Linked DNA regions of Nothobranchius furzeri. The protein of the gene in region 2 interacts with the protein of the main gene of each other region in a biochemical or structural test. Links are inferred from orthologs where the notes say so. Each region holds a gene or a part of one and is shown on either strand. Other genes may lie near its edges. The genes, in order: pdlim7 and smurf1.

Region 1 (15,645 bases), on a different chromosome or scaffold from region 2:
AACCCAAAGAATATATTAACCAGTATATAACTGCACTCTCACACAACACGCCTGCAGCAACAGTTAGGACTCCTCCCTCCCTTTTAAAAGCGTTTTTGCTTCCGAGGACATTGTGGTTGTAAAACCACATGCTAGTGGTCTGGCCCCGGTGTGATCAACCAGTTTCTGCGGGAATGTGACGGCGGAACCAGGGCCAGATTAACACTTTGTTGTACCCTGGGCAACAATATTCAAGGGCTCCATCATCACGACCCAAGGATCACCATAATGTGGTCACATACAGAATATTTTACTGTAATATGCAGTAAATATACTCAATACTTGAATGCCTGACAACACGTAACCCGCCCAGAGTAACCTTTGACCCACCTCGTGTGGACTGACCAATGAGGAGAGGGTCTTAACTTGAGGCCCTCTCTTCATTGGTCAGTCTGCATGAGACTGACTCTCAACTGACGTTCAAAGTCATAGGCAGCGAAGCGTCTCTGTGCAGCGCAAAAGCCCGGGTGGACAGTTTGTTTAATATAGGGTGACCATATTTCCATTTCCAAACAAGAGGACAGGGAATCTGTGCCTATGACGTCACTCTATGGCAACGCCACACAAACCACGTTGGGACCCATTTTTTGTAAGAACTAAATTAATTTCAGATTCTGCCAATAAAAGGGCTCTAAAACAATTCATGTGTAAATATTTTGCATATTTAATGCAAAATCTCATTTTTATGCTTTAGTGCTGCAACAAGGTTTTATTAATAATAAATTATTATACCTTTTGTTTTACTACAGCATCGGTAAGCTTCCTGTGCACAGATTATTAAGGATGCTTGTTTCAGCTGTGAGATTAGACGATAGGATCAATGAAAAAATAAGTTGTCACACACTCCATGGAAACTTTCAGAGAATCCACAAATAGTGGCTTTCAAATGGTTTTGTTACTTTTTGCAAGTTTATAAAAGAAGCAGATGAGACAGCATGTCTGATAATTTAGTTTTTCATCTGATAATATTAGAACATGTCAGTAATGTCTGAGGGGCTTTTACAAACACTGTATAACTAATACTCCTGGAGAGGGTATGGATTACACAGAGGCTTCTGGGGAGCCCAGTTATGGAGGGTGGGGGGCATTTTGCCTTGGCCCCCAAAATGTCTTGAAACGGCCCTGGGTGTGTGACTGAGTTTTGAAGGTGATCTGAATTGTATCAGATGTATAACTATGACATGTGTATAACTTATTGTTTTTTACTGGTAAAAACGTGTAGTGGTGATAAATCTACCTACATTTTACTTTGTTTTCTTGTTTTTATTTAACTATTTTCCTGTCCTGTCTGTCTCTCATCTTCCTGTATCTCCTCATAATTCTCCAGAAAATCTGTTGCCTGGATTCTTACCTTTTCACCTCATCAGTTACTTTTGAGCAGATCAAAGAGATCTCCTGACCGCAAAGCGCAGAGCGCGTTTTCGATGCTGCGTGAGGTGACATCACCACAGCACAGGTGATGAGCTCCGCAGTAGCGCGCTTCAGGCACAAATAAGACAGAAAATAGAGAACATGTGCAGACAAGAACGATCGTGTGCTAATTATAGTTTTTTGGTTGCGCCACTTTGAGAATGGACCGTGCGCTGGAAGCAGCTGCCTGGATCGCTGTGCAACAATGCGGAACCGGTTCGCAGCAGCTCAAGTCTGCAGGCTCTCCCTCGCGCTGATCTGCCGGCTCTCCCTCGCGCTGATCTGCCTGTACCGGCTCTCCCTCGCGCTGATCTGCCGGTACCGGCTCTCCCTCGCGCATCTGCGGCTCTCCCTCGCGCTGATCTGCGGCTCTCCCTCGCGCTGATCTGACTTGCTCTGGTCTGTGCGCAACGGCGGGCGGGAAGGGGGGGTGCGCTTTTGGAAGAGTTGTGCGACACAACGAATCGATGACGCAATTCGTTGCCAACGCTTTTAGTAATCGATTTTCACCGAATTTATCGATTCGTTGTTGCAGCCCTACACCCCATAGTTGTCAGCGACCATGCTCCGGTCTCATTAACTCTGGTAAATAAGAAGACAATCCCACCAAGCAAAAACTGGAGGTTTAATACATCACTGCTTAAAGACAAAGGTTTTATAGACTTTTTTTAAAAAGGAGTGGGCTTTAAATTTAGAACATAATGACCTGCCTGGAACATCATGAGGTAAAACAATCTCTTTCTCATCACATAAGAAAAAACAGAAAACATACTTATTAAGGAGTTAAAAGAAATCATTAAGTCTTTAGAGGCATCTGCAGAAAAAGAGTTACTGAGCAAATTACGTGAAAATAAATTAGAACTTCATGGAATTAGACACAATTTTTAGCACAAAGACTACAAATACAAAACTTTGAACATATTAATAAATCAAGTAAATTTTTAGCTAACCAGTTACGAATAAATAAAGAGAAAACTACCATATCTGCTGTTAAAGCAGGGTATCTGCAGGTTTAAGGGAGCCAAATTTAAGACTTTTTAAGACCTTTTTAAGGCCACTTTGACCAAATTTCAGCAATTTTTAAAATTTTATTTAAGCTATAATTTCCAGCTATTGCCTGGAACCGGTGCTAACCACGTCGCGAACGTGGGATTAGCCATCCAGTTACCATTACACTTGCACTTCCCCATGGCGCAAGCTCCCGCTAGCTTAACCAGCTAATGTGCTCATCTAAAAATAGCCCCCTTTCACAACCAACTGAATGTGTACGGTTCCGCTTCCGCCAATATCGTACACAAAAAATGCTGAACACTGACTAGAAATTCACGACAATTTTATAGAAATAAAAGAATCTTGTTTATTGGGTCTTTGGTAATTTAAGACCTTTGGAAACAGTATTTAAGGATAATTTGTCATTTTTAAGGATTTTTAGGGCCTTAAATTTGGAAAAGCTAATTTAAGACTTTTTAAGACTTTTTAAGGACCCGCGGATACCCTGTAAAGGCTCAACTGGGAATATAGTTTATGATCCTGAAAGAATAAACAACACTTTCAGAGACTTTTACCAAACTTTGTACTCACCACAGATAAACCCATCAGATAATGAGATCATTGAGTTCCTTGACAGGATAACCAGGGTTTCCCTTACATAGGCGTAGCCGTGGCAGCCCGCCACGGCTGAAATCCCACCGCCATGCCTACAAGATCCCAAGTTTGTTTTTTTTTTGCGCTGTTTCCCAAAGAAGCAGCGGGAATTACTATGTTGTCGCTTGTGATCACAGCCGGCAGGCAGCAAGGAGGAGCAGGCAGGGCTACAAAGTCATTATAGCAGATGGTAATAAACCAAGAGCATTATGGCCACCCCTGACTACTTTACACTAAATGTTACCAGAAAGATAAAGATAAAGTAGTCTTTTCGAGGGCAATTCAGAAAAATAAAAGTGTAATTAGGCAGCTTAATAAAAAGAAAGAAAAGCGACCTAGTGAAAAAATACATAGGGAAAAGTATTCCCAATCAAAACATAAAAGGCACATAGGTGAAAACATCTGGGTAACTTAACTTAAGACACCACCAAAAATAAGGTCATCATTAACCGACCAAAAAAGAAATAGAAAATAGTTCATAATGTTGGTGGGTAGAATGACTGAATGAAAGAAAGGGATGGACGACCAACCTCAGAGCCAGAAGACTTTAGTGATCCTCAGAGTTATTCATAACAGCAGGATCCAGGGAGTCCAGATATGTCTCTGCCTCAGCTGGATCAGTAAAAAACAGTTGTTCAGCTCCGTAGATCAGTTCGATATTGGCAGGATAAAAGAGGAAGACTTTCCAACCCAGGGCATGAGCACGATTTAAGATTGGAAAACAACGCCATCGCACCGTCACATCGCTATAATCCGCTGCAAAACATATGAGCCTCCCAGCGACAGACACCTGAGAACTCCTGGACAGGGATAGAATACGAACTTTGTCGGCAGCTTGCATGAGACTGACCAGCAAGGTGCGCGACGAAGCAGAGCCTCCGCCGGGACCAACACGTCAGGAGGAGAAGCCACCAGTTCTGGGAACCACACCGGGAGATGATCCTTCAGGTAGGATTAAGCATGATTAAGTTCGACCCCTTCTTTTAGGTTGAAGATTCGGATATTATTTCTTCCGCTTTGATCCTCCAGAAAAACAATCTTATTTTGGCGTTTTGTTAGGTCAGACTTGTAATCCACTTTACCTTCTTCAATTTGCTTGACTCAATTCTGGAGTGAGGAAGTCAGCTGCTTGTGAGACTCAAGCTCGGATTCCAGCTTGTTAAGAGTGACAATCACACTGTCGAGTTGAGACTCCAGTCGATCAAAGCGTTCTTTAGAGAGCGTCTCGGCTTCAGAAAAATATTTTTTCAATATAGCGTCCAGCGACGCCAAGCTGAAGTCACTGATTAACACGTCAGCGGCTTCCTCTGTACCTTTCGGCATGTCCTTAGCCAGAGTTTTTTTTGGAGGCATACTGAAGAAGAGAATTCCCAATGTCTTCAAAGTGGGACAACTTTTCAGTCCTTTTTTCGAACTTATTAAAAGATGATCAGGAAAGGCCACCACACCCAACTGCTCAGTCCGCCATATTTAAACCAACAGAAGTGGCATAATGCACTGTAATTTATTATCGTGGGATTGTTCGGTAAAACAGTGTTGATTTTATATTTCTTCATCAAGTTGACGCAGTGATAGCTTGCTCCTGTTATATTGTTGTGTGTCCCTTTTCTGCAGGTCTAGAAGCAGACTCTTGTTCATCATTGATTGTTTATCTTTACAGCTTAAAAGTATAAATAATAATATGTGTTGAATGAACAAGATGTTTAAATCAAATGTTTGAATAATCTGTGCTTTAACCAATGATGGCTATAAAATGACTATTGCTCTTACAATGATCCATTTCAGATCTTATAATCAGTATGTCTTTGATTTAACAAGTTAATCAGTATCTACACTCATACACATTACAATAAGATACGTATTAACCCTCTCAGACTCTAAATAAGTTTTGATAAAAGGATGAACAACTAAGTCCTTCAGGGGTACTTCTGAGTTATAATTTATAAACAATTAGTTCAATAAAACAAAAATGTACTTCCTGATTAATTCAGTTTCTAGCTGACTCCTGATTCGGCCAAATCGGGGAAGAAGCCTTTTTCAAACTGTTTCCTTTGACTTCCAGTCAAAGCCTCTCTGCGACGCTGTGAGTAATTACAGATGCAACAGCTCTTTTCAGAGCTACTTCACACCTCAGACATCTAACCTGCAGACCCCAGGTTGCATCTCATGGATGGTGAAGCTGAACTCAGAGGAAGCTGTTACTCTCTGAGTATTGTGGTTTCAACGTCCGGTGACATCACCACTCGAACCGCACTCCTCTGGACCGCCGGGATCAATTCATACCAAGGGTATCGTAGCCTGCACACTGGCTTCGGATGATTTTAATAAACAACTCTCTAGTTTATAAACAAACAACAAATTATTTTACAACCCAGACTTAACAAACTCTCTCAGATACAAAGAACGGTTTTGCTAAAACATCTAGCTTCCATTACATTTCACACATCCCATTACATCACCTCATACCCACTACATCACATCTCATTATTCATATCTTGTCATGAATAATCATTAGTTTAGGAAAAATAATTAAATTAATTTTAGAAACTATACCTGACTCTGTCTGAATTAATAGCAAGTGTGTTTATGGTCCCTGAATTAGCAAAGAACACTAGAATCGTCTGAGTAAACACTGAAAGATCAATCAGATTGATATTTCATATTTATATGGAATCATCACATCTTATTGGTCATTATTAAATATGTAGTCTCAAAATCATCATGCTACACAAACATATACAAGCTGTGAACTAATGCTAAATAAATCAACTGAATTAAGTTATGAGTAAACTAATTCTGCACATTAATCACCTGAGATTATGCATCATACTAAACAGGACTGAAAAGGTTCATACACTGACTTTACACAGTTTAGGTAAATGTTAAGAGTTGCCTCACCTGATGATTTTGTTGCAAGAACCACATACTGGGGTTCTGCCACTGTCCTCGGGCGCCTGCTGCGCTGCCTGAAGGATGGAGCTGCGGTTCTGCATGGGTGTTGGCTGGACAGGCTGCTGGTGCTGCGTCACCACGGTGCTGGTCTTGTCTGGGTGAAAGCGGTCTGCAAATATAGGGTCCGTGACCCATGGTGGTCTGCAGGACATACTGGAACCCCCTCTTGTTGGTGCTGCAGTGGTCTTGGAATCTGGACAGAAAAAAAAAACACGGACTGAGAAAAGTTCTGTGTCTCTGTTGACAATTGGATGCATGAAGACCTAAAGAATAAGAATCTGTTGCACAGCCTCCAAGCAGATGCTGCTGTGATTTGTTTTACGCATCAGCAGGAGCAGAAACTCACCATCTGGTTTATCTGAAGCTTGGGTCTTGGCAGAGAATGAAGTTGGCTCAAGGCTGAAGGGAGAAAACGGTTAATTACAAAAGATCCCACATACACACACACACACACACACACACACAGCTCGGTAACCATGGTAACCCCTCAAGTCTCATATTTTGAAATTAGTATTTATAATCGACTATTGTGACACAAATTATCTTCTGTGTGAATGATTCAAAGCTACAGCACCAGCAGGATCTGATCCCAGAGAGAAGCTGTTTTATTTAAACCTTGAAGCTGCAAGTTTAAAAATGTTTATCCTGGATTGTTTAAGTTCATGTTGTCTGCAGATCTTTCTTCCATGATATCTTTGTTCCATGATAATTAAGTTTTTTGGAGACAGAAATCAATCAAGTAATTAAACATGCTTCAAAACCCAATGCTGAACAACAGAATAAACACATCAACTCTGCAGGACTAAACAAACCCTCTGTGGGTATCTCACCCTCTCTCCAAGGGAGAGCCGAGCCACCCTGCTGAGAAAACTAATTTCGGACACTTGAATCTGCAATCTCATTCTTTTGGTCACTACCCAAAGCTCATGATCATAGATGAGGGTAGGAACGTGTCGACTGGAAAATCACAGGCTTTGCCTTATGGCTCAGCTCTCTCTTCACCACGACAAATCGGTACAACGCCCGCGTCACTGCAGTGATGCCCAGGGACGTATCTAAGCATTTTGGGGGCCGAGGCAAAATAGACCCCTTGAAGTTGAAGTGCTATCTGTTTTTATATTAGACTTTTTTAAAATTGCAATAAAGTCCAAAAGTGAAGCATTTATGGTATTTATTACTTGATTGTTCAAGCTACCTCACCGAAGTGATCTGTTATTTAAAATTAAAATAAAAAGGTAATTAAATAAAAAAAAATAAGGAACATTCTGGAACTGTTTCTTCCTTTTCTTTATTTTATTTTTTTTCATGTATCGAAAGTATCGGATCGGGACTCGGTATCGGCAGATTCTCAAAATCAAATGACTGGGACTCGGGGGCAAAAAAACCTGATCGGTACATCCCTAGTTGCAAAGCAACTCCCCGCCAGGACAACAGAGGGCATAGCGCTGTTCTGTGGTATCCTGTCATGTATCTGGTTAGTGCATTTAATATTATATTTATATTGTATTTTGTGTATTTAAGAGACTTTTTAACACAAACAAATTTGTCCTTCATTCTCCACCTCTTCATGGACTCGCCACCTCTAAACCCAATTTTCCCGTAATTTCCGTCCATGGATAAAATGCTTGCTGCATATCTTTTCACTCCTCCGGTCACAGGTGAATAAAACGTTCATATTTTTAGAGTTTTGCCGTGAGGTATTCTTCAAGCTGCTCCATGTCTGCCGCTAGATATCCTTGGTTCTCTTTATGTTTTCGAGGGCGCAATGACGGCATTGTTGACGACAGCGGCGTCCTGACCAATCACAAGCTTGCATTCTTCGTCTCGCCGGTCAGATGTTTAGAAAAGAGACCTCGACTCCATCCATCCTTGGAAGAGCTCTCCAGGAGGTTTGAAAGGACGGATAATGGAGTTGCGTGTCTCCATCCCGATGCAGATGGAGAAGTATAAATTAGGCATTAGGCCACCAAAACAGATCCTCTTAACACATTGGCTGCGCCTAGAAATTCTGTCCATAAAAGTTATGAACAGAATCTGCAATAAAGTCACTCAGCATGGCTCTATTAAATACCCGCTCTGTTAACAATTAGTCTTTCCTGCTCAATGATCTAATTCTCTCTAAAAACCTGGATTTTCTGTTTCTGACTGAAGTTTGGCAGCAAACATCTGATTATTCTGGTCTGATTGAACTCTGCCCGAGTGGTTATTCGTTCCTTAGCCAGCCCCGGGGTTTTGGTCGTGGTGGAGGCCTAGCTGTTGTTTTCAGAGACCAGCATCCATGTAGCTCTACAACCTCTGGTCACTTTGCTTCCTTTGAACTGCAGCTGATTAAAGTCGGGCGTAAGGACCCGTTCTACTGTGCTGTGGTCTATCGTCCACCTGGTCCAAACAGTTCTTTCCTTCAGGAGTTTAGTTTCTGTCCTCCACTGTGAAGCTGTCCAGACTGGTGATTGTTGGTGACTTTAACATCCACGTTGATGATCCCTCTGATCATTTTGCCATGATTTTCTCCAGCCTTATGGACTCCTTCGTCTTTACCCAGCATGTTTCTGGCCCCACACACACCACGGGGCACACTCTAGACCTTGTTTTTACCCTGAGTCTAAATGCTGACAGTGTTTGACATGAGGACGTTTCGATTTCAGATCACCATTGCATTTTCTTTAACTTGTCAGTTTCTGCGTCCCCACCTCCTGCTCGCCGTATGGTTAGTTTTCGTTTTCTTAACGAGAGCACAGCTAGCAATTTTTCTGCTGCTTTTGATCCACCCTGTTCTTCTGATAATGACCCAGATTCCTTAACTTCTCAGTTCAACGAGCACTGCCTCTCCATTCTGGACAATATCTGTCCTGTCAGAACCAGATTAGTTCCTGCAGTGAACCCTACTCCCTCGTTTAATGACAGCCTTCGCAGCCTAAAGCACCAATGCAGAAAATTGAGCGCTTGTGGAAGAAAACCCATCTCCACGTCCATCTGCTGCACCTAAAGGATCTTCTGACATCCTTTAACTCTGCAGTCAGAGACGCTAGGGGTGCCTATTTTTCCAACCTGGTGTCCCAGAGCAAAGGGAACCCCAAGGTGCTTTTTAACACCATCAGCAGCACTGTCTCTCCTGCCTCTCCTACAGCCTCCATCCACTCTGTTGCAGACTGTGAGAACTTTCTGTCTTTCTTTGTGGACAAAGTCAATAAGGTTAGATCTAGCATCTCTCCTTCAGCCTTATCGCCGCCTCTCCCGAATCCAACCAGGCCCATCATCCTAGATAGCTTTGCTCCTGTTTCTTTGCCAGAGTTAACAAAACTAGTTAACTTTATGAAGACCTCTGCATGCCCCCTCGACATCTTACCCTCATCTTTGTTTAAAAGTGCTTTTCAGTCCATCGGTCCCAGCGTGCTCTCTATAATTAATGCTTCTCTGGTTTCTGGTCAGGTCCCTGCTTACTTTAAGAACGCTGTAATCCACCCGCTTCTTAAAAAACTGAGTCTTGACCCCTCTCTCCATAGCAGCTTCAGACCTATCTCTAAACTTCCATTCATCTCCACGCTCTTGGAAAAGGTTGTGGCTAAACAACTCACAGCAGCTCTTGATGAACATAACATCTATGATTGCTTCCAGTCAGGTTTTCGTAGAGCTCATTCTACTGAAACAGCTCTTCGTAGGGTCTCCAATGACCTTCTGACTCACAGTGATGCAGGGGACTGTTCTGTTCTGGTCCTGCTGGACCTGACTGCAGCCTTTGACACTGTTGACCATCACCTGCTACTGGAGAGGCTGAGAGACTGGGTAGGCCTATCAGGAACTGCTCTGGAGAGGTTCTCCTCTTATCTTTCTGAGCGCTCCTTTTCTATGGCCGTCTCCAAGTTTAGGTCCTCCACCACTTCCCTTACCCATGCTGTTCCACAAGGTTCTGTGCTGGGGCCTCTGCTCTTCCTCCTCTTTCTGCGTCCTCGTCAGCACATCCTGAGCTCCTTCAAAGGAATCTCCTACCATCTTTATGCAGATGACATCCAACTGTACATCTCCTTTAAGCCCCATGAGATGTCTACGCTGCAGCTGTTACACACCTGCTTAGACTCTATCAAAACCTGGATGGCTGGGAGCTTTCTACAGCTGAATGAAGATAAGACTGAGATCCTCATCTGTGCCCCAAACAAGCTGGTTCCCAAAGTCAGAGACTCTCTCGGTCAGCTTGCTTCTCACACCAAACCCTCCGTCAGGAGTCTTGACGCAGCTCTCACCTAGGGCCTGCACGACTTTATTTTTTCTAAAGTCAACAGTCAAGTAATGAAAGTCGAGTCGACTTAGACTAGTCGTTGATGACGTCATACGCCGGAAGCGGCGGGGGGGGGGGGGGGGGTCGGTTGGTAGGTTCGCTGGAGTTTTTGACAATTAAAATTGCGCCCACATTTTCTAAGTTAACACATCTCTTTTAACAACGGTAGTTTCTGCATCCTACTTCAGCCCTCTCCCCCCTCCCCCTGCGCAGCAGCCACAAACTCACTGATGCGCCTGCAGCCTTTCCTGCTGCTCTAAACATTAAAATAATTATTTCATTTTCTGTTCCTCACTTCTGATTACCTTCAGTGGTGTCTGTTTGTTGCAACCAGCAGGTACAAAAACTAACTTGTTTTTATTTGACTATTTTTCTGTCCTGCCTGTTTATTATCTTCCTGCATCTCCTCTCAATCCTAAAGAAAAACTGCTACCTGGGTTCATATATATTCACCTTATGAGTTACCTTTGAACTGCAGTTCTAAAAGATCTACCGACCGCAAAAACAGCGGAGTGCCGCTGCTCGCTGGCCGACTACAACGGGACCGTCTTTGCTGCGGAGTTCATGCCGGAGCGGAGCAGAGATAGTGGAATCTTGGGGGTGCGTCACCGGAGGACAACAGGTGATGCGCCTCGCTCCGCAGCAGCGAAATGCATCAGGCACAAATAACAGACAGAAAACATGAAAGGAAATGAGCCAACATGAACGATCGCATGTTTAATTTGTTTTTGAGGTGGTGACACCTGATTTGGCGGTGCTCAGGACGCAATGTCTGGAGCGCACGTCAACGATCAGAGCTTTGCATGCACAAACTGGTTAAGATTAGGATGGGGGTGAGGGGAAGGTTAAATTGCAAGAGGGAAAAGGTCACAGTTTGGTTAAATGTCCGTTTTACCGCCGGTGTCAGTACCGCACAGCGCGTCGCCTCCGCCTCGATCCAGACGCGCAGGGGCTCATCACCTGCTGTCTTTTCCGAGGACTGCATCTTGTCAGTCATTATCACGTGACAGCGACTAGTTGATGACAGGCATAAAAAGTCACTACAGAGCCGTGAAGTCGACTAGTCGACTATTTCGTACAACCCCTACTCTCACCTTGGATTCTCATGTCAGTTCTCTTGTTCGCTCTTCCTTCTTCCATCTCAGGAACATTGCAAAGCTGAGGCCAGTTCTGTCCAGCTCTGAACTTGAGACAGTTATCCACACCTTCATCTCCTCACGCTTAAGCCCTTTTCAGATTGGCATTCTGGAATGTGAGGACAATTCAGTCCAGTTTTTAACCAGAACTGTGTTTTCAGACACACCACTTTTGTACCTGAACTTGCCCTTTCGGCTGCTTTCACACAGCAGATCTCTTGGGGGGGGACACGACATAGTGCGGAGGGCGTACATTCGTCATTTACCCAAACAAAGCCATTCAGTCAAACATGGCAGACGAAGCGATAGAATTCTTCTCACTGATCTGACTTATGTTAACCATAAATCTGCGCACACGAAGACGCATAAGAGACCTGGATGATGAAGCTCAATGGTTAATAAATGACTCACGGAGGCGGTGTGAAGCGGTGTGAAGCGCTCTGTCGCGCGTCTAGACGGTACCGTAGGAGGCAAGCTGCCATGGTTCGCTGCATGCTACAGGAGCGAGCTATCTAGGTGCGCACAGCGTCCCCTGGTCCCCTCCTCCTCCTCCCCCTCCTCCCTGTCCGGAACTCGACCTCACCCGTCTGAAGCAGCCACCTTGTCCGTGACAAATCCGGACCTGTTACTAGGGGCGTTGTCCTGTTTAATTACGGAAAAGGTTATCCGGATGTTTGTATTCAGACACAAAGGTCTTACGGACAGAGTCCTGAACATTTCCGTTTTTCATGGCCTGTCTGAAGGGGGCTTTAGACTACTGCAACTCTCTTTTCACGTGTCTGAGCAGAACCTCCCTGAACCGTCTACAGGTGGTTCAGAATGCCTGTGCTCAGCTTCTGACCAAGTCCTCCAAACACACCCACATCACCCCGCTTCTCCTCCAGCTTCACTGGCTGCCAGTCAACTTCAGGGTTCATTTCAAGATCCTGGTTCTGGTCTATAGGGCCTGACATGGACAAGCACCATCTTACATTGGTGATCTTCTTAGTCCCTACACCCCCAGCAGGTCCCTGAGGTCCAGTGATCAGAGCCTACTGGTTGTGCAGCTCACCAGGCTAAAGACCAAAGGTGACAGATCATTTGCTGATGTGGCCCCTCGTCTCTGGAATTCTTGTCCCCGAACCTGAGATCAGTGGACTCAGTGGACTCCTTTAAAAAGCAGCTGAAAACTCACCTGTTCAAGCTGGTTTTTGTATGACCTTCTTCACCACTCTTTATTCTGCTCTCCCCACCTATTCCACCTTCCTCAGGATCCACTGATTTCCCTCTTTCCTATTCACTCTCTCTCTTTCTTAACATTTTTAATCACAATTGTCTATTTTGTGCTCATTTAAAAAAATATTTGTAACCATTCTCTAATTTTTTTTTTTATTTTTACATTTTTTGTTTTTGTGAAGCGCCTCATGATTTTTATCTTGAGAGGCGCTATAGAAAAGATATTTCTTCTTCTTATAAAGCAAGAGGAGAGTGAGCTTTTGTGTATGCTGCTCTTCATCTGTGGAGTGCACTCCCTCTCACCATACGAGAGTCTTCAGTGATCTCGGTCTTCAAGTCTAGACTGAAGGGTCACTTTTATGATTTGGCTTTTGGACAGTGACCTCTTTTATGCTTAGTTTTGTTGTTTTTAGCTGTTGCTTTTATCGTCAAGACTGTTTTAATTGTTGGTGTCCTAGTTTTATTGCTCTTACTATTCTTACAATTGATTTGACATTTATTTATTGAAATGTTTTGAGTTGTATGTTCCTGACTTTTACTGTTTGTTTTTATCTTATTTTATAAAAAAAAATTATTCTGTTCATTCTGACTGTCTATAAGGCGCTCCGTTCAGCTCTCATGCTGCGTTTTTAAATGTGCTGTACAAATAAGATGGTATGGTATGGTATGTTAGGTCTGTAATACCCGCACACTGCTCCAGTCGACTTATCAGGATGCCATGGTCAATAAATTAAAAAGCAGATGTCAAATCCAGGAGCACTAGAATCACAGAATCTCTGGAGTCAATGACCAATAGGATGTCATCTATGACCTTCAATATTGCAGATTCTGTGATATAAAAGGGTTTATACCCTGATTATAAGACTTCCCCATTCCTGTAGAAAGGACATCAGCTGGACATACACATACATGATTTTAGAGATGAAGGAGAGTGTAGATGCAAAAAGAAGTCATGCACGTACACGCTCTCTCTCTCTCTCTCTCTCTCTCTCTCTCTCTCTCACACACACACACACACACACACACACACACACACACACACACACACAAACACACACACACTCAGTTTTAAGTGCAAAATGTAAAAGTAAAGAAAGAAGGAAAGAAAACGATCTTTTCTATAGCGCCTCTCAAGATAAAAATCATGAGGCGCTTCACAAAAATAAAAAAATGTTTTAAATATAACAAATCATTTAGAAAATTATTTTAAAAATATGTTTACAATGAGCAAAAATGGGCAATTGTGATGAAAAAAAAAAACAGGAAAGAACGAGACAGAGTGAAAAGGAAAGAGGGAAGTCAGTGGATCCTGGGGGAGGGCAGAATAAGGAGAAGGTGGTGAAGAAGGTCATACAAAAGCCAGCTTGAACAAGTGAGTTTTCAGCTGTTTTTTTAAGGAGACCACTGAGTCCACTGATCTCAGCATCAGGAGTAGATTTCCAGTCTGTGGGCCAGAGCAGCAAATGATCTGCCACCTTTAGTTTTTAGCCTGGTGCACTGCACAACCAGTAGGCTTTGGTCACTGGACCTCAGGGACCTGCTGGGGGTGTAGGGGCTGAGAAGATCACCAATGTAAGATGGTGCTTGTCCATGTAAGGCCCTATAGACCAGAACCAGGATCTTGAAATGAACCCTGAAGTTGACTGACAGCCAATGAAGCTGGAGGAGAAGCGGGGTGATGTGGGTGTGTTTTGAGGACTTGGTGCAAAGCCGAGCACAGGCATTCTGAACCACCTGTAGACCGTTCAGGGAGGTTCACACCTTCCATTAGAGCAAGCCTCTGATTGGTGGGTAGAATCAGCCCACATGGGCTTAAGGCATGCTCAATTCATCATCATTCATTATCATGCTGATTACTTAGAAGCTGAAAATGTCTCTGACTGTATTCCTTGCATACCTAAGCAAGGATGTGTGGAATCAACCGGGCGAGGCTGGGGCTGACTGGAGCTAACCGGGCAGGGCCGACCCGGTACAGATGGGAATGAGGCATAAGCCTTTCCATGCTCTACTACTTTCTTCTACAATTTGCTCTTTAACCGTATTATTTCCTGCTATTTCAGCTGTTAACTTTATTTTTTCTCTGTGTTTTTCTCCCCAGAAGAAGCTACAATTGTGTTCTGCTGAACCGTGGTAGCCTCATGGAGGGGCCATTGGCTTGAACACTACTGCTAACCACTTAAACATTGTCCCTCTCCTGATAATATTTTACTTTCTTTGACATTGAATGTGCTGCTACTAGTTTCACCAAATAGAATATTACTAAGAAATCACAATGTAACCATAGAAACACCACTTGGTATATATGTTGTGTGTGGATGTGTGTGTGTGGGTGGGCTGGTGTTGGTGTGTGCGTGTGTCTGCTCTGTCTACTCGGTCCCCAGTGAGTCGCGGCATATGGCTGCTTACAGAGCCAGAATCCTCTGGAGGTTTCTTCCTGTTGAAAGGGAGATTTCCTCTCCACTGTCGCTAAAAGCTTGCTTAGTATGACGATTGCTGTAAACTCGATACAATTTGCATGGTTCCTTATATAGGAAACTTTTTACTGACTGACTTACTGAACTGACCTGTATTGGAATGTTTACTATGTGAAGTGCCTTGAGACGACTCTTGTGATTTGGCGCTATATAAATAAACTTGAATTGAATTGAATTGAATTAAAGGCAAGAATTGAACTTGTCAGGGGGCGCTAGTGAGATGAGTGAGGAGTAGACACGTTTTTTTGAAGCTCCTCTTGGCACAACCATTATCTTAATTCAACCACCTTTTGAACTATTAATCCTCTTTCATTGCAAAAGAAATCATTCTGTGTCACTTTCTACATACATTACCAAGAACCGGGAAGAAAACATGTCCAGGAGCACACGTAGGGCTAAGGGAGCGGCCATGGCTAACGTTAGCTGCTGCAGCCCTAGGAGAAAGGGCCCGGCTTTGCTGGTGGACCATGGTCCGGAGGAAGAAGAGGACGAGCTCCCTCTG
Region 2 (15,645 bases):
AATGGTACAAGAGATAATGCTGCTGGAATTCAAAATTTTATCCTTCTCAGCAGCAGCACTGCAAGTGTTCTCCATGTCCAAAATGTGCGTAAGCAAGGTCCTTAGTCAACATAAAGTTGTGCACGTTTCTGCTTTGTTTTCTTTTATAAACCCCAAAGTTTGCGTGGAAAGTTGCTTACAGTATTCCGACCCCATTTTGTGCACAAGCAAGCTTTATAAATGAGCAGCACTGAGATCTAACAAGACTAGAACAGACACAAGATTCCTATCTGAGGCCATAAGAATATCATTTGTAACTCTCACTAATGCAGTTTCAGTGCTGTGATACTCTCTAAAACCAGACTGAAATTCCTCAAACAGAGCATTAGTGTTTAAATGCTCATTGGTCTATAATTCATTGGGTCATCTGGATCCAGAGAAGGCTTCTTAAGTAAAGGTTTGATTACAGCAACCTTAAAATCCTGTGGTATGTATCCATTTACTAAGAATAGATTGATTATATATGCATGGTGGCGCAGTGGTTAGCACTGTTGCCTCGCAACACGAAGGTCGCAGGTTCGAAACTCGGCTGCAGCCTTTCTGTGTGGAGTTGCGTGTTCTCCCCATGCATGCGTGAGTTTTCTCCGGGTACTCCGGTTTCCCCCACAGATCACAACATGCCCTATAGGTAAAAAAAATTTGAAAGTCGCTTTGGGTAAAAGCGTCTGCTAAGCACATAAACATAAACAGAATGGGGGCAGTAACCAAAGGAAATGCATCTTTAAATAATTTGGTTGTGATTGGATCTAAAATGCAAGTTGAAGGTTTAGATTAAGCTAATATTTTTAACAGTTCAAACACAAATGAGGTTCTACAGTTACCTCTGATACTGCCTCACTTACTGAGGAAGAAGAAATCGCATTAGGGAGGATGCTAATGATGTTGTATCTAATAGAATTCCCATAAAGTCGCTGCTGAAGGCTAAGGGAATAGATGGTTCTGAGCTATGATTCTCTGAACGTTTGGCAACCGTACTGAAAATAAGTTTAGTATTATTCTTATTCTCCTCAATTAACGAAGAAAAATATGCGGTTCTAGCTTGTTGAAGCTTATTTTTATAAAGCACAAGACTATTTTTACAGGATAGGTAGGACTCTTCCTGGTGTGTAGAGCGTCATGTTCTCCCCAATTTTCTAGAGCCAAAAAAAAAAAAGCCACAAAGTAGAAAACCTTATTCTCAATGTAATTTCTTTTAATATAATCTTATTTACATTGTATTCGTTCATAAATGTTTAGTACATTGTAAGTTACAATACTTTTGCATCCATTACACAGTGAAATCAGACCATAGACAATGCAGACTGAAATAATACTGCTTAACAGTCTTCAATCTACAACATTGTTTCTTCTTTGAGCTTTTATTCATCAAAGTTTCATGGAGCGGAAATAGATTCATTCATGGAGTCTAGCATTTCTAACACTCAGGACATGGGGTGTTATGAATAAAAGATGGCATTACGGGTAATGCAACATGTACAAAAGACTGAAGAGATTTTAATACAGACAACATGGATGAAGGATTCCTAAATCTGGCTGTTTCTCCATCCCGGTTTAGACTAAATCTGTAAAAAATAAAATAAAAATAAAAGCTTCAAATGACCTCAAATATGATTGATTTCAACACCAGGGCCAAGAAAAATCACTTCCTCTACATTTAGACAAATGTAACCTGGTATTCTGGAACACATTTTCATTCACCGTCTAGAGCTTATTCCCTCCACAGGAATATGGATGTTCAAAGTAACAAAAGTCAATAAAAACCCACTTTGTGGATTACTTGCATTGCGTGAAAATTAACCCTTCAACTCTAATCGAGGGCTGATTAAGAGATTAGTGATGGCTCGTCGTAGAGCCCGTAGCAGCGTGGTCAGTAATCACTTAGTAATAAATAAGAATAAAACATCAGAGTGGATCAGAGTGGTCGCAGACAAAAGCCAACAGAGGCTCGTTTTACCATTCAAATTATGGAAAGTCAAAGGTGACAATAAAATGCGCGGCAGGACGACCAAGGGAACAAAAAGGCGCCCGTAAAAAACTTGCACCGTGCTCGCCAAATCCTGTATGGAAAGCCAATGGTGATGGATTAAAAAAAAGCTGCTTTAGCTGGCTAGATAAACAAAGAATGTAAAAAAAAGTTTTGTTCTGATACTTTGAACAGTTTATCAATAGAGGGTTAAACTGTAATATATATATATATATATATATATATATATATATAATTTTTTATTAGCTACACTTCTTGCCAGTATGACGTTTTAACCCTTTAAACGGTTTCAAGTATCAGGACTCATCTTCTTTTATTTACTTTGTTTTCGACTCACCTAAAGCAGATTTTATTTATTTTAATTTTATTAATTATTGTCTGCTTAATATTGGCTTTCCAAAACGGCCATTACGCACATTCAAAACGTGCGCTTTATTGTGACCTTTGGCTTTCCATACTCACACACGCATGCATGAACGCGCACACACACACTCACACACACACAGAACAGTGGTTAACCATGAAGTAACCATGAAGTCGATGAATCAACCGTCCGTGTTTGCAGGCTCTCGTGCGATTGGCTGAGTTTGGAGTCCGACTTGTCGTGGTTGGACATTCGTAAGAATGACATCATAGCTCGTTAAAAATGAAGGATAAAAATTCTTCTTCAAAATGTCTGAAAAAATTTAAAATACTTGTTTTTTCCTCCTCCTGCTGCTGCTGTGCTTCCTCCTTTACCCCCAACAGTTCGGAGGTGGCTAGGGAGTGTGTGTGTGTGTGATGCTTGGCTGCACTGTATACTCGGAGCATACATGAAGTTCTGTCTGTGCGTGTGTGTGTGTGTTGAACAGTTGTGTGCACGTGGACAGGTCACTCCACAGCGAAGCCGCAGGTCTCCTCCACGGCCGTCAGCAGCTTCTCATTAAGTTTCTCGTAAGACTCGTAGGGAGGGACGTCTATCCGGTTAAAACTGGACACAGGAAACAAGCGTTAGCCACCAATCTGCAGAGGACGCCACACGCCGCGTCATACGTGTCCTCACCATGTGTGCGCCTTGGGTAAGTTGTCCGTGTTGGCGTCTATCAAATGGATGGTGAAGAGCCTTGGTCCTGCAGAACCTGTAGAGCCTTACACACATTCATTCTAGTTATCACTGCGCTACCGTGGGAGACAGACCACTCCTCAGTCCAAACTACAAACATCCAGTTAAAGCTCAAACTTGATCAGACACACATTTAGTTCAGTCAGCCATTTTAAGTGTTTTTATGTGTAAAACTGATAGTTAATAACTATTTTAAGCTTCCTCTAAAGAGAAATAGTGTTTCATCCAACAGGATTGACACGCTAACGGCTAGACCGAGCAGTGTTTTTGCTGCAGGTTTAATTCTTTTTTTCAGGGCTTGTTTCCCTCTAAATTCTGTTTCATTTTAGTTTTAACTTTTAGCTTTAACGATTGTTTATAACTTCTACACAAAAACTAAATGTCTCTTTTGAGCACATCATCATTGTGATGAGCAAAGCAACGATAATAAAGGATAGGATGAGAAGAATGGATCTCTAATTTAATTTTGATTGATTAACAACATTTATACTGATATTTCTGAAGGTCAGATTGTAGAATTGAGTTTTTCTTCAGTAAAACGTAAAAACTAGCATTAGCAGCTAGGTGCCCCGCAGGGCAGACGTGATAAATGAGGCCATAGTGCTCACACTGAACTTATAAATCTGCTGCAAATGAGTAATAAAACTTATAAAAGTCTATTCTTTAATTTGAATTTATCTCATTTAGTCACTATTTGTTTGTTCTGGTATGTTTTAAATGTCCTGCCTATAGCTTGTATTTTGTTTCCTGTACTTTATTGTGAAAAGAAAAGTGGGAGGGGCTACGAGGTCCCGAGAATGAGCGCGAGGAGCGAATAACGGCCATGTGAGGAATATCCTGCTGCTGTGGATTTTTCTTTAAGCTAAGAAAAATAATTGTAATCAGAAGGGAACTGTGACCCGACTTTAAATCAGGACTCGAGCTTTAATCTGACACGGCTACAACCTCCTAAAGCCTGCTACTGGGTGTAGGAATGATCCAGTATTAGCTGAATAAAAGGACATCACAGAGGAACTGATCGTTAATCTTTATCCCGTTTTTGTTATTTGTGTCTCCAGAGTAACGATGTAAACATGCGAGGCCCAGACTCGGGTCTTAGCAGGACATGATTGTGTTTTAGTATCCGTCCAGCCCTGATCCTGGTTAGCTGTGTGTCTCTTTGTTGTTTTTAAACTTTTATGAGTAACCATGTGTGTGTGTGTGTGCGTGCGTGCGTGTGTGTGTGTGTGTGTGTGCGTGTGTGTGTGTCAGGACATGACCCACCCTGCAGAGCTTTGAACCCCTGCAGCGGCACCCGGGTGGAGCCTGTGACGAACTGCAGGAGGCGCCCTCTCCTCTCCTCGCTGAAGTCCTCCACAGCCTGCCAGAACCACCGGACCACGTTGCTCTCACTTGTGCAGTGTTTCAGGCGGGTGTTGGCCTTCCAGTCCGCGAGGTCTATCTTTCCAAGCCCGCCGATTATCAGCTGGAGGGACGAGAGGACAACAGGATGGATACGGTCCGACTCAAACGCAACAAATCAAAACAACATTTAAAAAGGGATCCGTGGTTCAGAGCTGAGACATTCACCTCAAGTTCTTTATGGTCAAAAGGTTTGAGGAGGTGCTGTGGGATCAGCTCACTGAATCCCTTTTGTAGAGCCAGAAACTGGGCTTCGATTCCCCGCATGAACCTCCAGTTCACGTAGAGTCTGCAACGCGCCGTAAACACAGACAGGATGAAGACACCCGACCCAGGAAACGTGTCGACCAATCGTCTGCTCCTACCTGACGTATTCCTTCTTGTTCTCCTCCGTAACAGAGACGTTCCTGCCGTTAGGCTTCAGTTCATGTTGGGAGAACTTCCCAAAAGCGTTGTGCTCCACGCAGAACGTGTGATCGAGGACGGAAGTGATGTCGTTCTCTCTGCACAAAGAACATTAAACACAAGTGAAAACGCACGATGAGCTAAAGCAGCAGGCTACTGTAACCCCGTTTAGTGCTAAAGGTCTGAACCGGGTTACACCAACGTCGGCCTGAGCTGCTCTGAGAACAGAGGGAAGTTCCTCACAGTATCCAGACGAGGCTCTTGTGCAGCTCTGGGTCTGTGGTCTCCAGGTCACTGAGCTGGATGGGTTTCCCGAGCAGCTGCTTGTAGAAGGGCAGCGTGAAGCTCCCGTTGATGTAGTGGCTGTGGAAGACCGCCAGGCCCATGACCCGACCCACAAAGTGGAAGTAGGACAGGTGGTCCTTGAAGAGACAGGAATCGAGTCAGAGACTGTCTGGATCAACCCCCCCCCCCCCCCCCCCCCCACACACACACACACACACCCACACACACAAAGGGACACTCACGGGGTTGATGGAGGAGTCGGAGTTGATCTGTAGTGTGTAGATGTTGTCGGTGGAGTACTGGAACAGGCCGTAGTAAGGGTTCAACATTTCATGGCACAGCAGGTACAGCCACTCCCTACAGACACACACAGGCTGTTTCAGACGCTTACACTGACAAATCACACCAATAACAGCCAGATATGATACAAAACGCCCGTTAGACGCTAATCTAACCACTCTGATGGAGCAGGAACACGTCGTCTAGTCGCACATGGATGGGTTACCGGTCCTACAGAGAAACAACAGCACCGGGCTGATCTAGAATCACACATTAAAGGTTGTTTTTTTTTTTTACCCGTGTTGTGGAGTTGCTAATGCTAACGGTTAGCCTCTACTAGCCGAGTTGTGCTCTGCTCTCTCCTGGATGCTAAATCAATAACAACCTTCTGCCGTCACGACTGAAGCCAAGGTGGGCGGGGCCACTAATGCTAATTTCCTCTCTGACACGAGCATTTCCTCATCTATTTCCTTCTGCGGCGAAAGCAGGAAATAGGGGTAGAAGACTATTTTTCACATTCAGCCTGCACGAGGAACTCGGAGTGTCCGATCGGCTTTCAAAAGAACACGTTTGTCAGAGAACAAGACTTTTAACACGACTAAGGCAAAATATTAAAACTCAAAAACATTTTCACAGTCTGAAAGACAGCTCTCATACGTTTAACACACTGATAAAGGAACACACTTTCTACTACTAACCCTACTAGTACTACTAGTACTACTACATCGGTGTCTGTGAGCCTGGGGCACACAGAAGACGGAAGCGCCGCAGTTTTGGGGTCACACAGGAATCGCTGCATCGCTGAGCGTCATGAGACAGTCACAACTTCACGTGGGACTTGAGAACAGGAAGTGGAAAGTGACTCTTGTTTATACGTGATCAGACTGCTGTCGTGTTTTGTGAAACTAATTCATTAAAAATGGGTGAGTACTCTGTTTATTAGAATATTTTAAGATCAATAGTACTTTAAAGTATCAATACTGTAGTCAAGTAGCCTTTATAAGCTCCTCGTCCATGTTTTGGCGGTTGGCTTTGTGCCGTAAAGTCGTTCTGCGTCGTAATGTCTGTTGTACATTGAATGTGCTACTACTAGTTTACCTGTTTAATTATAGATTCACTAGGATAAATACAGTAAAGTTTATCTCTCATCAATATTTACAAAGAAATCACAATGTAACCATAGAAACACTTCTGTCTGTCTGTCTTCTCCATCCCCAGTGAGTCGTGGTGGATGGCTGCTTATACTGAGCCAGGATCCTCTGGAGGTTTCTTCCTGTTAAAAGGGAGTTTTCCTCTCCACTGTCGCTTCATGCTTGCTTAGTATGAGGATTGCTGTAAAGACTGTCACTAGTCAGTGACTTGATGCAATTTGCTGGGTTCCTTATATAGGAAATATTTTTCTGATTGGTGAACTGACCTGGATTGGAATGTTTACTATGTGAAGTGCCTTGAGACGACTCTTGTCTTGATTTGGAGCTTAATAAATAAGCTTGAATTGAATTGTAAAGTACTCCTCAATTCTTCTGAATGTTCGTTCTGCGTTTTGGTTCATAATCATCTTCTTTTTTCTTATTTAACACAGTGTAGCGATTTGATGTTTAGGTAGAAAAACATCAAATGGCTACACTGTCTGTGTTAAATAAGAAAAAAGAAGAGGAGTACTCCACAATGATGTAGACAGCTGCGCCACGGAGTGTTGTTCTGGTATGTTTTAAAAGTCCTGCATATAGCAGGCGTGACGCGGCGCGGCGCATCTGTCTTCTGTGTGCCCCGGCCACAGCTGCACCAACTAAAGCAGAACCACCAAACGCTGGCTGCCCAGAAACAGGACTAAAAAAATCACCTGGCCACTCCTCCGTAATCCAGACCCTCCTCCCCTCTGAACTTCACCATCAGGCGTTTCTTCAGGTCTTTGGGCCTCATCTTCATTATCTGACGATAGGACTCCTGTAAACACACACACACACACACACACACACACACACACACACACACACACACACACACACACACACACACACACACACACACAGTTTAACTCTTTGAGCTAATGACGCCTGGTGGAGAAGCTGAGAAGAGGTTAGTTAAGCGCAGAAACCTCGTCTGATTTAGGAGAAAAATGTCTTTTTTTTTTCGTTTTGTGATGGACACTTGACCAGAACCACAACAAAATATGTGATGACCAGAGAGAGGAAAAGAGCTAGCGTTAGCCTCACTGATCAGGAGACAAGATGGCAGTTGTAGGGGGGGGGGGGGTGTGGGACGGGGGAGGGGGGTGACAAACACAAAGTATTCATTCATTCATAATCTGGAACTCCAAGTACATGTTGGAAGGTGAGTCGTGCTTCAACAATCTTCTGTTATTTACCTCTGAGTGTTAGCAGCTCAGGCTAACATTATTGTCCTTACCAGCATTTATGTTGTTGAACTACGTTGTTGAACAATAAATGTTTGAATAAAAAAAAAACAACTAATAATCTCCCCAAAATGAGGCTGGAGCTGACGACATTAAAAGAAAAGGGTTCAAAGGTCGTTAATCATCTGCTGCTCTTTCTCTCACCTCAAAGATCTCCTCTCGGGACACCTCGATGCGACAGTGTCCCGCTTGAGGCTGCTGCAGCGACAGCTCATGGCGGAGCAGCTTCAGCTTATGCACCAAGTCTCTCTCGTAGCGCACCGCTACATCTCCGTCTCCTCCTCCGCCTCCGCTGCCGACTCCCCCCTCCTCCACTCCCACATCAATCTGAGGGGCCTGGGGGGTCTCCTTCACTTGGGAGTGCTGGCTGGAGGGTGGAGATGAAGCCGAGGAAGGAGAGCAGATGAGAGAAAACACGATGAGATGGAAGAACGCCCGGATTACACACACCTGCTAAACCTCCCTTAAGCCCACATTTCTGTAAACCACATGATTCAGCCGCGCTAGCAGAGCTGGTGAGTGTTAGCACGTCATGTTCAGATCCAGACGTGTTTCTTACTCACATCAGCAGATTAGATTAACGAGAAGACAATCTTAAAACTACTCGTTTAGCAGACTAAACGTCCAGCACTCAGGAGGGAATCGGCTCATCTGTTAAAGACAGATGAGGATCTGAAGATGGCCCACCTGATGATGGTGTGGAGACGTGGGTCTGTGAACTGTGTGGTTCTGTTGTTGTGGTCCACAAAGTAGATGCGGCCGGACACGGTGCTCCGGACCTCCCAGCCCACCGGTAACGGCCCGAGTTCTTCACAGCTCACACTGGCCAGGTCCCTGCGCCACAAGCAGTCGCACAGTTTTATGGTTCTGGTAGAAAACACCAGTGGGCAACAGCTGTCCACTCTCCCGGTAGCTAATATAAAGGCTAGCAGTTAGCTTTATCAGTTTGGCGATTGTCAATAAAAAAAGAAGAATTTTGCTTTTTCTGTTGGCATCATGGCGGAGCCTGGAAGTAAAAGTAAGAGAGCAATGTCTTTGGAGATGAAGCGGAGATAAAACCTGAGTGAACATCGTCGCGGCCTACGCTAGTTTGAGGGAGCTAAAGAAGGATATGAAATCAGAGACTGATGGTGACCTGGCTTTGTTGCTACTGAACTTGTAAGTAATAATATTTTTTGTCCAACGTTGTGGATCTTTTAACTTCGTGGCTTATTTGGTTTTAGTTGGCTCGTGTTAGCATTAGCTCATTGTTAGCGTTAGCTACAGCAGGCAGCGGCTGAGTTGTTTGACAGTTGTGATTCCGCTTTCAACCAGAGGGAGGGAGAAGTGGAAAACATTTGTAGAGCAGGTTGTTATGATTTTTTAATATATTTTCTAATGGAATCCCTCTGATTGTGACTTTGAGTTATTCAATCGTTTCCAGATTTTAAAGAGCAAGTCACCCCCTACCAGATTCTTACTCAACTCCCACTTCCTGTTTGAAAAATGCAACAAATGCTGTTGCCTAGCAGACCGAGAGGGTGGAGCCTCTAACAAATACACACACTCACGACATTGTGACATCATAATGTACCATTTGACATCATAGTGTACCTCTTAGCCAATAGCGACGGCAGAATGCAAATGCAGTGCTGAGTTTTTGCCTGACGACGGTGCATCACTGACAGTTTTAGGCAGAAAATTAAAATTTTAATGAAGATGCACTAAAATGCCAAATTATTGACTACATTTGTCTACAGCAATCAGACACTCATTTATATAGTTTATCAGCAAAAAAATGTTGATTTGGAGTGACTTGCTCTTTAAACATCAAAACCAGCATTTTCTCGTAGCTTAGATTAGAACCAAACTAACGTTGAAATATCAGCGGCTGCTGCATCGTTTCTTCTCATCTTTTTATTCTCATGAAGTTATTTCTATGAAATGCACCAGGACCTTGTATTCTTGTTTATTCTCGCCTGTTTCTGGGTGTATGGAGCTAGGATTGGGACATTATTACATGTGACTTGTAACATGTTTTGTAACATGTAACTTTAGTATTGTAGCATGTAATTCTCAGTTTGTAACATGCAACTTCGGTAAGTAACATGAAACTTTTATTTTGTAACTTACAGAAAAAAATCAATGCACGAGTTCCAAATCACAACTTTCAAAACACAAATCTCAGTCTACAAGTACAACACATTTTGTCCCAATTCTAGCTTGCTTCCAACAGGAATTGTCCTCGACAGGAATCTAAGACTCATGATTGGCTGGTCAGACAAAGCCCGTCATTGGTTCTTTGAGAAGGAAGCTAGAATTGGGACAAAATGTTTTGTAACTGTAGACTGAGATTTGTGTTTTGAAACTTGTGATTTGGAACTTGTGCACTGACTTTTTTTCTGAAAGTTACAAAATGAAAGTTTCAAGTTATGTACCAAATGTTACGTGTTACAAAACGAAAGTTGCAGTTACAAAACATGTTACGGGTTACAAAGCTTGGTACAAGTTACATGTAAAATTGTCCCAATCCTAGTTCCATATGGGTGATGTTTGGAGAGTGAGAGAAGCAGCAGTGTGTGATCGCTCACCGTGGTATCCGAGGGTCGTGCCAGGTGCTGACCCCTGTCTGTGTGTGAAGGAAGTACACCTGCCCCTGAACTGTTGTTCTCTGCTCTGTTTTTAAAGCAAAAACAGATAAAACGGCCTTAGAAACTATCTGAGTCAAGTTTGGGTTGGATAAAACCTTTGCTGTTAAACTAACCGTATCCCTCCGGCAGGTCAGGCGGCTGATGCCCGTGCGGTCTGTTCTGAGGGGTGTGGCCGTGACCTCTGGAGTCCTGCCCCCTGATTCGCTGCGATGGAAGACGGCTCTCCTGATTTGGGGAGTCCAGCCGGCAGTTCCCGCCTCCCGCAGCACCAGTGGGGTCAGAGTAGGGGAGCGGCTCCTCGCTGAAACATCCCTCAAAAACAGGCCTGCACCAAAAAGAAAACAAACCTCACAGCTTAAACTAACGGTGATCAAACCAGTAAGAAAACATATTTTGCTCCCAAATTTTGTGGTGACCTTATTCACAGGATGGAGTTTGATAAATTCAGCAAAAACACGTGGCAACACACTTACGCCTCATTTTCCAGCAGGCCTCTACAGTCCACCACCGGCCCGCCGCTGCCGATGCGGTCTCGTGTTTGTAGGCTAACTGTAAACAACAAGAACGACCAGATTAAAGTGCTGACAGGGCGAGGGACAGGAAGGGACGACGCGAGAAAAACACCGTTTTGGACAAATAGTCTTACCTACAATCTGACCCCTGACTGCATCGCTGTCAGAGGGGTTCAGCTTACAGAGATCTAACCGCTGGTCTGGAGGAGGAAGCAAACTCAGGGTTTTAATCTCAGTCATGATAAATGAGTCAAAGGAAAGTTTTAAACCACGACGAATTAGAATTACATCCTGTGTCTTTTAGCCTGCTGATGGCGTTGGAAAGCAGCCGTATGCAGCCCAGAAACCCCGCCCCCTGTCGTTTGTGGATCTTCTTATGGTTCCATATACTGATGGTGATGGAGTCCGTCTTCCCGATGTAGCTGGAGAACAAGTTCCATTCATCATTTTGAATATATTGTGACATTTTCATCAAGGTCAAACATCTTTACAGAAAGGAAACTCACAGGTCATAGTGCTGGTTCCACTTGGGATCCAGTGTGCTCTTGACGGTGTCGGTGGAGTGGCACTGGCCCGATCCGTCTACCACCACCTTGGCAAATGGATCTGGTAGACCTGCACCCACACACACACACACACACACACACCAGCTCTCTGTTTCCATTGTTGCAACAAAATAATAATATTTACAAAAACACTGACGTAAAAATACTTACGAAAGAAGTCTTTCTTTGCGAGGTTCTTGGCACACAATACTACAATAAACAAAAAGAGAAAGTATGAAGAAAATGTCACATGCATAAACATGTAGTTAATGATGGCGTGTGGGCTGCTGCCATGAAATCTGGTGCAGAAAAAGATTCGGAGGAGGAAGAATGCAGGTTTGAATTTCAATGAGCAGAAAAACTAAGAAACTAAAACACGACACCCATCACAGCAGAAACCAACAATTAGTTATGCTTTAAGCTGAAATTTATCTAAAAAATCATCAATACAGGTTTTTTCTTTATCTTAACTCGGATGTTTTTAACTGCAATGCAGCACATGAACACCCGGGGGCAGTGTCGCTGCCAGGACTGCACACAACCCAACCAGCAGAGAAGAACTTCTCAGGAGGAAGGTAAGGTCCGTTCCTCAGTGTCAAGGAACCTCGCCTTGATGTCTTGGTCCTACCCCGGTTGCCTAGGAGATACATCATCAGGAACCGCCAAGGCTGCTCCAAATTGCTCATGTTCTACCGAGGCGCGTGTTCTTCGTTTGTTAGCCTTTTAGCTAGCTGAGCAAGGATACACAGAAGGTGTATTCAAACCTGGCCTGTGTCAAAAATTCCCCAGAATACGCCGCAGTATTTTCAAAAGGATGGCGAATCAGGAGCCAGCAGCTACTTCTAGGGTTGTCACGGTGTGAAAATTTAACCTCACGGTTATTGTGACCAAAATTATCACGGTTTTCGGTATTATCTCAGTATTTTTTTTAAACGTGTTACATTTTCAGACAACTAAATAAACCCTGTATGTCAGGAAAATATTGTCCTCAGTTTGTGTCTAAATTTTGCCTAAATTTTTTTATTTTGTAATTATGTTGTTTATTTGTTTACATTTTTCCCCTTTAGTCTTTAAAATACCGATATTTGCCCATAACTTCTTATTTTTTGTCTGTTTGATGTCATCATTTTAAAAATATTAGACCAGATGGTACTCAGTACTCAAGTAGCCTTCTAATCAGATACTTTTTTACCCTTACTTGAGTAATAAACCTTAAATCAGGAAAATATTGTCCTCGGTTTGTGTTCCAGTGAGCTTTGCAGATGTGGGAAAATGTCATCAGGCAGTAATCATTGTTAAATTCATAATTATTCTCGGAGAGAGACCAACTCTTATCTGCCCCTGGGAGCCCCGTAATGCATAGCGTCATTTCAACATGGGGGTGTCCGCGACACGGTTTATATGCAGGTAGCGGCGCTGCGGCTGCTTTATATAGCGACTCGTTGCATTCTCCCTCAACCCAAATCCTCGGATCACGCATTTTAGCTAAAACGCTAACGTTAGCTTGCCTTGCGTTAACTGTAGATTTGTGGGTGATGGTCACGCAGATGTGTCATGAAATTTGAAGTGTTGCTGCCTTTCACAGACACTTTTTCTGCACGTGCTGCAAACAGGATAGCCGTCTTCTATCAACCGTCCCTCGGCATTCTTCAAATATCCAAAAAATGCCCGTACTTCCCACTTTGTCTTCTTTGAGGGATAATAAATGTCCTGAGCGCTGCCGTCTCCTCCTTTTGTCCATAGAGTACTGAATATCATCTGATCTAATATTTTTAAAATGATGACATCAAACAGACAACAAATAAGAAGTTATGGGCAAATATTGGTATTTTAAAGACTAAAGGGGAAAAATGTAAACAAATAAACAACATAATTACAAAATAACACATTTTAGGCAAATTTTAGACACAAACTGAGGACAATATTTGTTGTTTATTTAGTAACCCTGAAAATTTAACATGTTTAAAAAAATACCGCGATAATATCGAAAACCGTGATAATTTTGGTCAGAATAACCACGAGGTTACATTTTCACACCGTAACAACCCTACTATAGGTCTGAGGTGAGAGCAGGGGTGGGATTTAATAAGTTTTCTTCATCCCACTTCTTTTCAGGTAATTTTTGTTTCTTGTTTTTGTGCACTTTATGTTTTATATATATATATTTTGTTGTGCCTGAAATGAAAAAAAAAGCGATTATCCTAAAATTATTTAGTTATTGTTCTTTTATGAGTTGCATATATCAGTGTCAGAAATTAAATGGGTTCTATAACCCCCCCAAGGCGCTTCGCAACACAATCAGTCATTCACCCATTCACACGCTAGTGGGGATGAGCTGTGATGTAGCCTCAGCTGCGCTGGGGCGCACTGACAGAGGCGGGGCTGCCAAACACTGCCCCCACAGGTCCCTCCGACCACCACCAGCAGGCAACGTGGGTTAACTGTCTTGCCCAAAGACACAACAGAAGCATTATCTGGTCAGAGCCGGGATCAAACCTGCAACCGTCTGATTACTGGACAACCCACTCTACCTACTGGGCTACTGCTGTCCTGTAAGAGTAAGACAATATGGGTATATCAAAAATAGGTGACAAACAACAAAATGTTGGGATTCAGCCTGCTGGAGCAGCTGAGCTGCGGTAGGTAGGTGTTGTGCAAAGAAAAGTGAGCCGCCAGCCATGCCGCCGCCCCGCCTCAGGAACAATACAACACAGATGCATATTGAGGACGCAATCAATTTGAAATGAGCGACAAGGCTCATTTTATATATACTTGTGATATTAACTTTTCATACTAACATACTTCCTGAATGTTTCCTCTGCAGATAGACTAAGGAAATGACAAATACAGAAAGAAATACATAAATAAAATAAAGAAAACTTAAAAGGAGAACTTGGATGTGTTCTCCTTTTATCTTCTTGTTTCAACGCTTCGCTCAAGTCTCGGACTGGGACTCTGTATCCAGCAGACGCACAAAAACAAGCGACTTGGACTCGGATCAGGAGCGAAAAAATGCGATTGAAATATTACTAATTTAGACTCTTGCTGAGCAGTTTAGAAAACCATTAGAATAATAATATTAATGGTTTTCACGGTTTGCCTTTTTCCTCCCAGGATCTGAGACTTCCTAAGAAGTCTGTGCTGTGGGATGTGATGAAGGAGGTGGCGTACATGTGTCTGGCGTAGCCGGGCCTATTTCCTGTGATTAACCAACGGAGAATGGCTGCAGGATATCCTTCCCTTTTCCTCGTCAACCTCTTTCATTGCTCCTCCATCTGACTCACACATTCCTCCCCCAGACCTCATCTTTTTATCAGACACAATAAAATACCCAGAGAGGAAAAGAGTCGAGTGTCTGAACTCTGACTCTTCTTTCACTGAATCCATACAGGAAGTCTCTCCTGTCTCCCGTCTCTGTCCTGCTGAGCCATCCAAACCTCTAATCTTCCAAACTCCTCCCAGAGACAGACACCTCTAAATGCATCTATTCATCGTTTTCTTTCCGCCTCTTGACCAGCTCTCTTGTGGTGCTCTGTGTGTGTGTGAGACAGGCTCTTTCAGAGAAAACCTCCCACCAGCCAAGGTCATGGCTGAGACGGCTCAGCTGGTCACCCATTTCCAGTTATTCTCCATCACCTTTTTTAAAAGATGGATTTTCTCCTTTGACTCTTAAACTCAGATTAAAGGGAAACTATGTAATTTTTTAAACATTTTTAAATAAGTTTCTTGAGCCAGCATGTGCTAAAATGACCCTTTACAGGGTTAATGTAAGGGTCTCTCAGCCCCAGTAGCCAGAATACCACATTTGCAACCGGAGAGTAGGGTTGTCACGGTAACCGGTGTAGCGGTAAACCCCGGTAAAAAAGTTGACAATAATAATAACAGTCTTGTTTTTAAAAAAAAAAAAAAGATCTCGGTGGGTTTACCGTGGCTGCGGTGTAGGCGCGGTGACCCTTACCAGCCACCGTATCATCTGCTGAAGTTGCCGGCAGCACATGCGCGCTTTGTTGTTTACAACCAAAACTTTCTTGAAGCTAAAGCTGAAAT

Evidence for each region.
Region 1: the proteins of smurf1 (region 2) and pdlim7 are reported together in a solved structure, tested with the Homo sapiens proteins (2 studies listed by BioGRID, with this or other methods). The link is inferred for Nothobranchius furzeri from reciprocal best matches to the Homo sapiens genes SMURF1 and PDLIM7.

Annotation. Positions count from the first base shown.
Region 1 is NC_091741.1:103,125,854-103,141,498, forward strand, and holds part of pdlim7 (PDZ and LIM domain protein 7), read right to left. Parts: intron 6,445-15,645; coding exon 6,392-6,444; intron 6,239-6,391; coding exon 5,992-6,238; intron 1-5,991. UniProt on the Homo sapiens protein: May function as a scaffold on which the coordinated assembly of proteins can occur. May play a role as an adapter that, via its PDZ domain, localizes LIM-binding proteins to actin filaments of both skeletal muscle and nonmuscle tissues.
Region 2 is NC_091752.1:65,335,990-65,351,634, reverse strand, and holds the end of smurf1 (E3 ubiquitin-protein ligase SMURF1), read right to left. Parts: intron 11,809-15,645; coding exon 11,770-11,808; intron 11,669-11,769; coding exon 11,560-11,668; intron 11,476-11,559; coding exon 11,342-11,475; intron 11,254-11,341; coding exon 11,188-11,253; intron 11,091-11,187; coding exon 11,015-11,090; intron 10,867-11,014; coding exon 10,655-10,866; intron 10,567-10,654; coding exon 10,482-10,566; intron 8,746-10,481; coding exon 8,599-8,745; intron 8,279-8,598; coding exon 8,056-8,278; intron 7,443-8,055; coding exon 7,339-7,442; intron 5,574-7,338; coding exon 5,459-5,573; intron 5,354-5,458; coding exon 5,175-5,353; intron 5,030-5,174; coding exon 4,892-5,029; intron 4,816-4,891; coding exon 4,695-4,815; intron 4,591-4,694; coding exon 4,389-4,590; intron 3,151-4,388; coding exon 3,066-3,150; intron 2,994-3,065; coding exon 2,894-2,993; 3' UTR 2,661-2,893; downstream 1-2,660. UniProt on the Homo sapiens protein: E3 ubiquitin-protein ligase that acts as a negative regulator of BMP signaling pathway. Mediates ubiquitination and degradation of SMAD1 and SMAD5, 2 receptor-regulated SMADs specific for the BMP pathway.